Linked DNA regions of Tribolium castaneum. The protein of the gene in region 3 binds, or shares a complex with, the protein of the main gene of each other region. Links are inferred from orthologs where the notes say so. Each region holds a gene or a part of one and is shown on either strand. Other genes may lie near its edges.

Evidence for each region. The genes of interacting proteins can lie anywhere in the genome.
Region 1: the proteins of NEDD8-conjugating enzyme UBE2F (region 3) and Uba3 are in contact, whole or in part, in a crystal structure (PDB 3FN1), measured with the Homo sapiens proteins. The link is inferred for Tribolium castaneum from reciprocal best matches to the Homo sapiens genes UBE2F and UBA3. Residues at the interface, in NP_001265234.1 of Homo sapiens: Thr27, Arg28, Arg29, Val30, Asp34, Lys35, Val38, Lys39, Val41, Ala42, Glu45, Val54, His55, Phe56, Pro57, Asp58, Pro59, Asn60, Leu62; in NP_003959.3 of Homo sapiens: Ala401, Thr403, Thr405, Leu406, Glu407, Gly408, Asn410, Arg411, Thr412, Ser417, Val418, Thr419, Ser420, Ile421, Arg424, Thr425, Gln442, Glu443, Ala445, Ala447, Asp448, Val449, Thr451, Pro452, Gln453, Thr454, Leu456.
Region 2: the proteins of NEDD8-conjugating enzyme UBE2F (region 3) and SCCRO3 are in contact, whole or in part, in a crystal structure (PDB 4GBA), measured with the Homo sapiens proteins. The link is inferred for Tribolium castaneum from reciprocal best matches to the Homo sapiens genes UBE2F and DCUN1D3. Residues at the interface, in NP_001265234.1 of Homo sapiens: Leu2, Thr3, Leu4, Lys7, Leu8; in NP_775746.1 of Homo sapiens: Glu108, Glu109, Glu112, Pro122, Thr123, Glu124, Met139, Cys140, Glu194, Ile204, Ala207, Leu208.

Annotation. Positions count from the first base shown.
Region 1 is NC_087400.1:1,389,393-1,393,149, reverse strand, and holds Uba3 (nedd8-activating enzyme E1 catalytic subunit), read right to left. Parts: upstream 2,770-3,757; 5' UTR 2,651-2,769; coding exon 2,131-2,650; intron 1,084-2,130; coding exon 278-1,083; 3' UTR 240-277; downstream 1-239. Other genes in the region: coronin-2B, read left to right, coding at 2,991-3,098. UniProt on the Homo sapiens protein: Catalytic subunit of the dimeric UBA3-NAE1 E1 enzyme. E1 activates NEDD8 by first adenylating its C-terminal glycine residue with ATP, thereafter linking this residue to the side chain of the catalytic cysteine, yielding a NEDD8-UBA3 thioester and free AMP.
Region 2 is NC_087399.1:5,918,447-5,922,203, reverse strand, and holds the start of SCCRO3 (DCN1-like protein 3), read left to right. Parts: upstream 1-1,382; 5' UTR 1,383-1,701; intron 1,702-1,755; 5' UTR 1,756-1,834; coding exon 1,835-1,910; intron 1,911-3,757. Other genes in the region: tudor domain-containing protein 1, read left to right, coding at 1-512, 570-826, 872-984, 1,031-1,172. UniProt on the Homo sapiens protein: Contributes to the neddylation of all cullins by transferring NEDD8 from N-terminally acetylated NEDD8-conjugating E2s enzyme to different cullin C-terminal domain-RBX complexes and may play a role in the cell cycle progression by regulating the SCF ubiquitin E3 ligase complex, after UV damage.
Region 3 is NC_087403.1:3,757,117-3,759,668, forward strand, and holds NEDD8-conjugating enzyme UBE2F, read left to right. Parts: upstream 1-1,136; 5' UTR 1,137-1,247; coding exon 1,248-1,505; intron 1,506-1,553; coding exon 1,554-1,715; intron 1,716-1,758; coding exon 1,759-1,875; 3' UTR 1,876-2,028; downstream 2,029-2,552. Other genes in the region: rb (AP-3 complex subunit beta-2), read right to left, coding at 2,224-2,362, 2,407-2,552. UniProt on the Homo sapiens protein: Accepts the ubiquitin-like protein NEDD8 from the UBA3-NAE1 E1 complex and catalyzes its covalent attachment to other proteins. Together with the E3 ubiquitin ligase RNF7/RBX2, specifically neddylates cullin-5 (CUL5).

The DNA of each region.
Region 1 (3,757 bases), on a different chromosome or scaffold from region 3:
GTTTTTATCTTCGCCGAGTCATATTTTCTGAGAAAAACGCCCTACGGCCGATTACGGCGAAGCTATAATAAGGCCTAAGTCAAAATTCCGACCAAATTTTAAGCAATAATACCAAAAAAAAGATATAAAGATATAAAGTGTTTTTTTCAATATCAAAATTGATAGAGTGGTTAGAACTTAAAAAAATCAAACAATAAACATTTCAAGGGCCAAAATAACCGTTAAAATGAAACAAAACCCAGTTTGTAATTTTCTTTATTAAAAATAAATAACACAATTACTTCATCTCAACATCGCTCGTTGCAAACTTAAGTGTGAAAACCAACGTCATGGGAGACGTAGCATCTGCGACCATGATATCCATGCCATCCTTAAGCCCCAACTCAACTAAAGTCTTATTTAAATTATCCCTGGTCCTCTCCTCTATACTCTTAATCGTGGAAATGTACAAAGTCTTATTTTTCCCATCAATAACCGTGGTTAAACCTGGATTTTTCATTTGAAACATCTCATCCTCACACAGGATTTTAATCAAATCCTTCAGCTTGACTTTACTCGGATCCTCAATCGGTAGAGTTTGCGGCACTTGGGAGCAAACCACACAATTGTCCCTCCGTTCCGCTGCGTAAGTGTAAGTGTAAATCCCGTCCACGTCATTGAAAACCATGTAATTATTCAACGGTAGACAACAACTCGTTGCGATTTTAAACACTTCTGTGGCGCAAACTCCGGCAATAACGGCGTTAGTTGACGCCACTGCTGGAATAATGTGCTTTACGACGCCTTGAACAAGGCGGTAAGTCACTCCAGGGATATTGAACTGGGACGCCCTTTCCAGGGACTTTTCGTAAACCCAGCCAATGTGCTGGGAGTCGTCTCCGTCCAGGGGCGCATTAAAGGGGTTCTCCTTGGGCCACAAAACCACCTTTACGTATTCAATGCAGTGTTCAGGCAGGCGGGGTGTGTTGGCGATTGTGCACAAAGGGTAGGTGATCTGAGGGGGGTACAAGTCAAGGGTGCACTCAACACAGGCGTTGTTGCCAGGGACTATGACGCGGGCGTTGCCCTTAAAACCCTCAGTACCTGGAAATAAATTATTACTCAATTATATATATTTTTTTAAATTTTGGCGCCACAGCACAGTTCAGATGGCGCTGTAAACAAGAAGAATTATTCGGAAATAAAATTAACTAGACGCCCTCTGGTGATGACTTTTGAACTATGTCGAAGACAGTAAAGAAATTTTCGTAATGCCACATTTAACTGACATTTAATGAATTGTTCAACAATTTTGCGTGTATAGTGTTAATTACTTACAATAGAAAGAATTACTTTAAAAGTACGTGGTGGTAAATACTAGCGTTGACTTTGGTTCTGTAGTTTTTCATGGTATAAAGTGTTTATTGTTGGAACTTGAAAGTGGATAAAAAGTGAAAAATATTTAAATTTTGATTACAAAGTGTTATCAAACAGTTGTCTAATTAAAGATTATAAGTAATAAATCACAGCGAACACAAAGTTTGGCTCAAGAAACCAATAAATTAGTGAAGTGTTATGAATTTTAGATTAGAATTTTCCACTGAAAAAATCATGAAATGCTGCAGTAAATGTACAAAACTACAATAAAGATTAACAACTGCTGATACATTTAAACGTAAATTATGCCAAAAGGTAGGTTTTTCAATGTCTTTGTAATAATTTTCCAATAAAGAAAGTGAACCAAACAGTCATTCGTTATTCGTGTTTTCCTCGTCATCTCTCATTTGTCAACATAAGTTTCTTGCATCAAAGATGCAATAATCATTCCGCATAGGCAATGGAATAATTGTGAAGCCCCAAAATTCGTACAACGCTCAAAATATCCGAATAAACATTTTCCCGCCATTTATGGTTACTGTTTTCGACCTAGCTCAGTGGCGCCCCCAACGGTAATTTTATTTCCGAATAGTTTGTTAGATAAAGATAAATGTCAATAAAAATATCAAAATGGAAAAAAAACTAAAATAACACAATTTTTTGTGAGAGAAATAACTTTAGCGTCTGAAACAAGAAGGCGCTGATATTTTGAAACAGCGCCATCTGCGAAAAAAGGCGCGTTTTTTGTCTCAGCCCCCACGTTTCGGCACAAACCTCCATCCACCAATGGAATAATGGTCGAATTATCCAGCACCCCATCCTCGTAGCTCAAGAGCGACAAAATCATGCCATTAATCCACCTCCTGGCCACGATCGAGTCCAACCCGCACACCATAATGTGAAAACTCCGATAAAAACTCTCATCGTAGTCTTGTATTTTGCAAAAATGGGGCGTCACCTGGCACCCAGGCACGCGCTTGTTGATGAAAGCCGCCGCCACTTTGGCCTTGGACTGCCCAATGTCCTTCTGTCTGAACAGAAACTGGCGGTTCAAATTCGACAAGTCGATCGTGTCCATGTCGATGACGTGGATCTGCTTGAACCCCATCAAAGCCAAGTCCTTCAACAGTTCGCAGCCCAGGCCCCCGGCCCCCACGACAAGCACCTTGCAGGAGGTTACGATAAAATCCATGATTTCGGGTGACGGCTCGAACTCCGGGTGGCAAAAGGGGCCCGGACGCTCCAGCACCTTGCGCAGGTGCCCCCAGCGCTTCTGTTCTTGCGTTTCGCTCATTTTTAACCGTTTTTAAAATTGGAACTGTCAGAAAGGAAGTGACTAACGCGCCAACTCGTTTAGTTATTTCACGCAAAAAGCCAGGCACAAAGGCAGGAATTTTAATTACGTACTAATTATGCACTGCAATTGGTGCTAATTATAATTATTATTCTCCTCAATGCCATAAAATAGTCGGAAATAAGTTAAAGATCGTAGCGTTAGCCACTTCGTGACGTAACAACGCGTTGATCGCTGTCAAACAAATGTCAAAAAAGTTACGTTGTGATTTATTGTTTTATTGAATTTTTTATTTAAAATCAGTACAAAATTGTTGGGTTTTTTATGTAATTCATTTATTATGACTGGAGAAACGGAAAGCAATGTTGGGAATTCTCTGTTGCCAGCAACCGGAGATAAAATAATTAATTTTGTGGATAACCGCTCTTGCAGCAAACCCTCAAAAAGGGTAAGATTTTTTTTAATTACTACTATTAGCCCGGTTTTGGGACGTTATCAGGTGTTACATGTGTGGTAGGTAATTAAATTGATTATTTAATGTAAATATTTAATCACAAATGGAAAACTGTCGTTATGTTATACAGAGTGGTCAAGAGTCACTGTTTGAGTTGGCAGGCCTGTGGTCACACTGGCTTGTTTGACGTTTGCAATGTCAACGTTTCAAATATCCACCTTTTGGTCGAAAACGGTGTTTTTAAATTAAACCACGTTTTTTTCTGAAAAAATCTTTTTACTCTTTTTTTATTCTTTTAATTTTTGAAAATTTTTTTTTGTTCAATTGTCAATATATTTTTTATTTTATTAAATTTATCGATTTGTATAAAAAACTGACTCGAGACCAATAAATTTGTAGATAGCAATGGTGTTACGGTAAAGCACGTTCAAAGTAGATTTCTATCTTCAAAATTACCCAACCTCTAATTTGACATGAATGATGTTTTTTATAATTAATGTAGTTATTTGCTCGTATTTTAGATGATTTCACACTTTTTTATCATTGTTTACAATTTTTAATAATTATTTTGGACTATGGAGAACTATATACTAGGAGGCGAAACAATGGAAAATAACTCGATTTTTTGTTCTAAAAATTTTGACCTCACGTTG
Region 2 (3,757 bases), on a different chromosome or scaffold from region 3:
TATCGAAGCCTTGGAACAAATGAGCGAAATGGAGGCTAAAACCGAATTCGAGACGATTTTTGTATGCAAGGAGGGAAATTCGTATGGAATTGATCTCTTGAATGAGGAGAAATTTGGGAAGAAAACGTTGGGTCAGATTTTGGTCGACTCCGAACTTGCCCTCCAAGTGGACATTTCAGACGGACTTGAAGCATTAGAGGATGAAGATTTCGAAGAGTATGAAAACATCAACGAGGCCATAACTGGATACGATGCCAAAGATGAAGCAAGACTTTGCCCCTTCACTAATGCGGCAGGGGGCTGTTTTAAAGGGGCAAGGTGTAAGCTAGAACACGGCGTTTTGGCGAAAGATGGCGTCACGACGGATAAAGTTTTGACGATGAATCAAGCGTTCACTGTGACGCCTTTGCCCCCCAAAGGCCAGTGTGTCGACGTTTTGGTAACGGGGTACATAAGCACCTGCCGTTTTTACGCACAAATTGTCACAGCACCGTCCAAGACTTCGAATTTTAGTAAGTTTACTAAAACGGGCGCAATATTTTATAGAGTGGTTAATTTTGTCATTCCAGATGCAAACTTCCAGAGGCTGAGAGAGAGCATGAACTCGAATAATATAGTCCACACTTACGAGCCATTTAAATTGTATCCCGGCCTCGGGGAGGTTGTTTTGATCAAAGAAAACTCGGAATGGTTTCGGGGGATTTGCGTTGGCTTAGCCGAAAACGACAAGATTGAGGTTTTCTTTGTGGATTTTGGTTACAAAAGAGAGAAAAAACTGAAAGATCTTAGACAAATGAAAGAAGATCTTCTTTATGTGCCATTCCAAGTTAGTCATTGCTGTCTTGTTTTTGTTTTGATAGTTTTGTTTCAGGCGGTTGAATGTATGTTGGAGGGCTGTCAGGAGAAGAAAGATGCCCCAAAAAATGCCTCCCAAACATTTTTCGACTCGTGCATGAATTTAAAAGTTTTTAAGGCTCTAGTTGTGTAAGTTGAGCGGTTGTCTAAGAGGCAAGAAATAATTTTATTGTAGTGAATCAGAGGAACCCCTGAGACTGTCTATGTGGGACTCTGAAGGCATGGAGATGGGCTACGTTCTGAAAACGTGCGGGTTAGGAGAGGACCGCAAGAAAGATGTTTTCCCAACCAAAGACTGTTATTTAAGTTGCAATTGATTTTTCCATGACTGTTTAGAGTGTATTTTAATTTATTTTATTAAAGACAATTCAATTTTTGAATCTTGTGTTTGATTAAGCCTAACGTCACGACTGTCGGTAATGCAGGTCACGACATTGGGGGGCTTCAAAATTTTTAAATTTATGTTATGGGGGCACTACACGTTGACAATTTTTCTTTAGTCAACAATTTCATGTTTAAAAAAGTCGCGTTTGTGAAGAGGGCGCCCCGGGGCCCCGGTTTGATTACTTGACAACCGAGATGGCGTGAAAGTAGCCGCAAATCAGCTGCATCTGTCAAATCAACAGATGTATTGTAGTTTGCCCCCTGGAAGAGCGGACTTTTAGCCCCCTTGCGCCCCATCAGCCCGCTTGTATGCCTGTGCCTAGTGCGTGCGTGCAACCACCGCCAAAAATGACAATTCTCCCTCCCAGAATTCGCCAAGTGTCATAATGAAAATTCCGTCGAAAAACTCGTCGAAATTTGTGAATTGGTCGCGTAAATAGTGGTAGAATAGAAATTTCTTACGTTAGTAGTCGCCCGCCAGTGGTGTTTTTCCATGTTGACGGTTGGTTTTTGTAGGATTTGATGGTAAAGTCAGCATAGGCAATGCAAGAGTGTTTTTTGAAAATCCTCGCGAGGTTTCGTTTGGGCCCTTCCAATGGGCAATTGCCTGGCGTGCTTCAAGGAGCCCAACAGTACGGCCCTGGACAACTCGCCCAATTGCCGTAAAGAAGGTGGGTTGCAAGTTTGATTCAAAAAATTTATGGAGACACATGGTATTGCTCGACTTGCAGCTACGATTCCTTTTATTGCGACTTGGGTCGTTAAGTTTAGTGCGAACATCTGGCCGCAAACGGCTGCCTTTTAAGGACAATTCTGATTTCTAGCCAGCAAGAATTGGGTGATGTTTGTTCATAAAAATTACTTCATTAGTATTGGCATTTACTTCACCCATCCATATTCATAAAAAGCTGTTTATTCTTATGACCAAGTACTTAGATCACTTAAGTAGCTACTAATTTGCTCGTTTGGTTACTGCCAGACTTGTAAAAATTCCACTATTATTATTATTTTTACGTTCAAATTGCAAATCAGTCAGAAATGCAGGGTTCTCTATTTCTCTAGATTTTTGAAGTGTCAAGTTGGAAAAAAAAGCAGCATTATAAATCGGCACGGAGTCACTCAAACTGTCCCGAAATCGACAAATAATTGACTGAAAAATTCGAACATGTGAAGCATTATTAACTAACGCCGATAGTTTTTGTGTTATTGATCCTATTTTGTGTGAATTTTAAAAATATTAAATCAACTTTTTGTGAGCCGTTGAATCACTTGGAATACTCTGGAACTGACAAAATTCTAAGTACACGAATTCGAACATCCAGAGTTTTCATCTGAGACTGTTACGTTTCGAGTTGTTATTTTTTTTCTAGAAAAAATTTATATCTGCAAACAATTTCAACATCTCCAACACGGCTGTCCCAAGGAAAAACAAGCAGTCAACAATTTTTTTAATATGTTTTTTACATATTTTGCCTTATTTTTACGTTTAGATTTATTTGAATACTCATCATTAACAATTATTTGTCTAAATTAATAAACAAAATTGTTTTCTTCATATACTATACTCTAACAACAGTTCAATGTAAAACACCATATCTACAAAATACCTTAGAGACAGGTAGATTTAAATGCAAATTTGGTTGGCATTTTGCTTTGGACATCATAGTTCCAAAAAAGTTTTCAAATATCGTTTATTTTTTATTGTAAAAAATGTTTTTCTATACATGAAATTCTACGTAGTTAAAGTGAGACTATAGTAGCAGTTTTCAAGATATCAATGTTTTTGGAATGTTTCTAAAGCGTTTGTAAGTGAAATTTTTGAAATGACTGAAATCGCCGAAAAATCATCCGATAAATTCTGTTACTTACAGCCGACAGTTCTCAGCTTATTAACTTAACACAAAAATTGCGTTCTTGGTAAAATAATTTAAAATTAAATAAATCGCCTATCTCCATCAGGAAATGATGGCATAAACTAGTGCACACTTTCTGCTAAAAACCGCTACATATATAACATGAGATCGAAAATATACTCAATTAGAGCAGGCCTTGAAAGTGAAGTGTAACTTTAGCCACATCATATGTCATAACTTCAAAAGTGTGGCTAAAGTGAGAATAAACGGCTAAAGTTCGGCAGGCACAGCTTGCTCTAATTGAATATATTTTCGATCTCATGTTATTATGATGTTACGATCGGTCTAGCTTTAAAAATTTTTCTCAAGTTCTTGGTACGGCAGACACAGCGTCGATTAGTAAATTGAGTTTTCTGCAGAAATATAAGATTACGAATAGCTAAGTATGCTTATTTTTGCTAATAACTTCTCTAGTTTATAAATATCGGCATAAACAGAGACTTATTTCTTTATAATTTTTAAGCATATCTGAATACCAAGTAAGTACTAATATCGACTTCATTACTGCACAAGTACATAGTTAAAATTGTATGAATATCGATGTAAAAATATACTTAGGGGGTTCAAATTTAATGTAAACCGTAATTTTATTATAACTTTTGACT
Region 3 (2,552 bases):
AAACATCTAACGTCCAAATCAACAAAGAGAAAAAATTTAAAATAACATACTGTCAATTGGGCTATCAGTATTACGTGTCACAAATCAAATTTTGTGAACATTTCTTTGCAAATTATCTACAATTTAAATGTATATACAAAACAATAAAAAAACCTTTATTGTAATGTGACATTTGCCTGTAATTTTAGATTCTTCAAAAAAATTTTGTGATTTTCGTATGGCAAGCTTTTAAAAATAAGTCATGTTACAATATTATGATAAAATTTTAAGCGTCATTATTCGCATTTTTGTATTTTTACGTTAATAATTTGATAACTTAATTAGGGCCATTTATCCAAATATTTCACTTGGGTGGCGCACCTGTTACGTATTGCTGATTATAACCGATTTACCTGTTAGGAATCTTCATGAAAATATTTTATCAGTCTACATACTATCAGAATGAATAAAAGGGGTATCAGCGTTGCGGCAGTTACATGCTTATAAGTCGTATACTCGCGAAGAAAATGGGTTGTGTCTCATCAAAACAGTCTAAAAAAGATGCCAAGAAGGTTCGAGGTAGGGAAGACAATCGTGGGCGTCTTTCGGTGATTTGGGAGTACGTAAAAAATTCAAATAAGTACTTATATTTTTTAACATAAATTTTCTATTCAGGGAGTTAAGCTCTGCTGAGGTCCTCAACCTTGCCAAAACAGACCCGGAGGTCTACCAAATTTGTTTAAGAGATAATATCATAAGACCACCCTGCCGTAGAAGAAGCCTGTGGAAGATGTTTGGTAACGAAGCCGCTCAAGTACGCCCCAAAAAGTAAACACAAATGTATCTTTTATTTACGCAATAAACTATTTTTACTCATTTAATAAATCATTCATGTGGGTCTCTCCTTCCTTAGTAAAAAAATCCAAAACATTGGAAATAAAAATTTGATTTACAAGGTCAAGTCTTGTAGTATTTGGGTGGAAACTTTTTAAATAACCATGGTACATATACGTGTTATAAAACACAATTAGACCACCCCAAATTTGAGTTTTTTCTATTAACCAAAATTATGTTAAAGTAACAGTTGATAGTATTTTCGCCTTATTTCGTTTAAACAATTTGAAAAAAAATTCGGTTCGAAGATCTTTCGGTCCGGGTCACTCTCGTTGACAGCGGCGCTGTCAGTTACCTAACCAAAAATTTATATCAAAATTAAACATAAACAATGCGATGATTTTCATTGTGTTTCAATAATAATTTGTAGAATCATGATTACGCTATCCCAACGCTTGAAAAAACAGCAAGAAGACCGTTCTTCTAACACGAACCGAATTTCAATCAGGGACAAACTACTAATTAAAGAATCACAAGAAATGGCCCAACTTTTGCCCAGTAATTGTTCAGTTTTCTACGAGAATGAGAACGATTTGAGCAAGTTCATTTTAACCGTGAGACCCACGGAGGGCCTTTGGGAGGGTGGTACTTTTAGATTTGCTATTAACGTTACCGAAGAGTATAACATGGTTGTAAGTATTGCCACCGAGTTGCGATCGGCGGTTGAGTCTCGTTTGCAGCCTCCCACTGTCAGATGCCTCACGCGTTTGTGGCACCCTAACATAACCGAAGTCGGCGAAGTGTGCCTATCGCTCCTGAGGCAGCACAGCATGGACGGGCTGGGCTGGTCGCCCATTAGGAGATTAAACGACGTCGTCTGGGGCCTACACGCCTTATTTACGGTATTTATCGGATCGTTTGGACACGGTTGACGTTTTGTTTCAGGATTTGTTAAATTTTGACGATCCTTTAAATATAGAAGCTTCGGATATGTATAGAAACTCTAAGGAGGAATTTAGAATGAAAGTGAATGAGTACGTTATGCTGTATGCTAAAGATTAATCGTTGTAGAGTCGTCGATATTACTGTTTGTCCGCTTTCACGAGTGTGAATACTCCATTTCCTTTTTTTGTAAAAAGTTATCGTAAAGTTTGTCCACAAGTGAGCAACTCTTCACTTTGGGTAAAGTTTACCACAATATATTTATATGAATTACCGCTGTTTCAATCCAAACACACACTTCTCATAAATATTTATTTGAAAGGATAAAAAAGAAAAGTGATAACTAGGTGGCAAATACATCCAACATAATATTCACGCAAAAGGAAGCTCGGCGTTTAGCAAGTGCACATTATGTTCAAGTATTTCCCGTTACAAACAAGTACAATACATCAAATACGCTGAAGCAACTTATGACTTGAGATTATGTAGCAGTTCGTTGAGCATAACGGACCCAAAGACCATGTTCTCGCAATTGACAGTGACCACCTCCTGCTTGGTTATTGTGACCAGAACGAAGTTCGACGATTTCAGCGTTTGGCCCGCGAACCTGTAAACGAGACTAATCACTCGCCACACAAAAGCGGGCGTTACCTCAGGCTGTCGCTCGCTGGGTCGCACACGCCCAAGTTGCTGCATTCGGTGACTCTTTCGACGATGTTAGAGACGCACTTCACTTTGCCGATATGTTCGTTCATGCCGCCCAACTTCGACTGCTTTTCCTGGAATGTGGGGGTGTC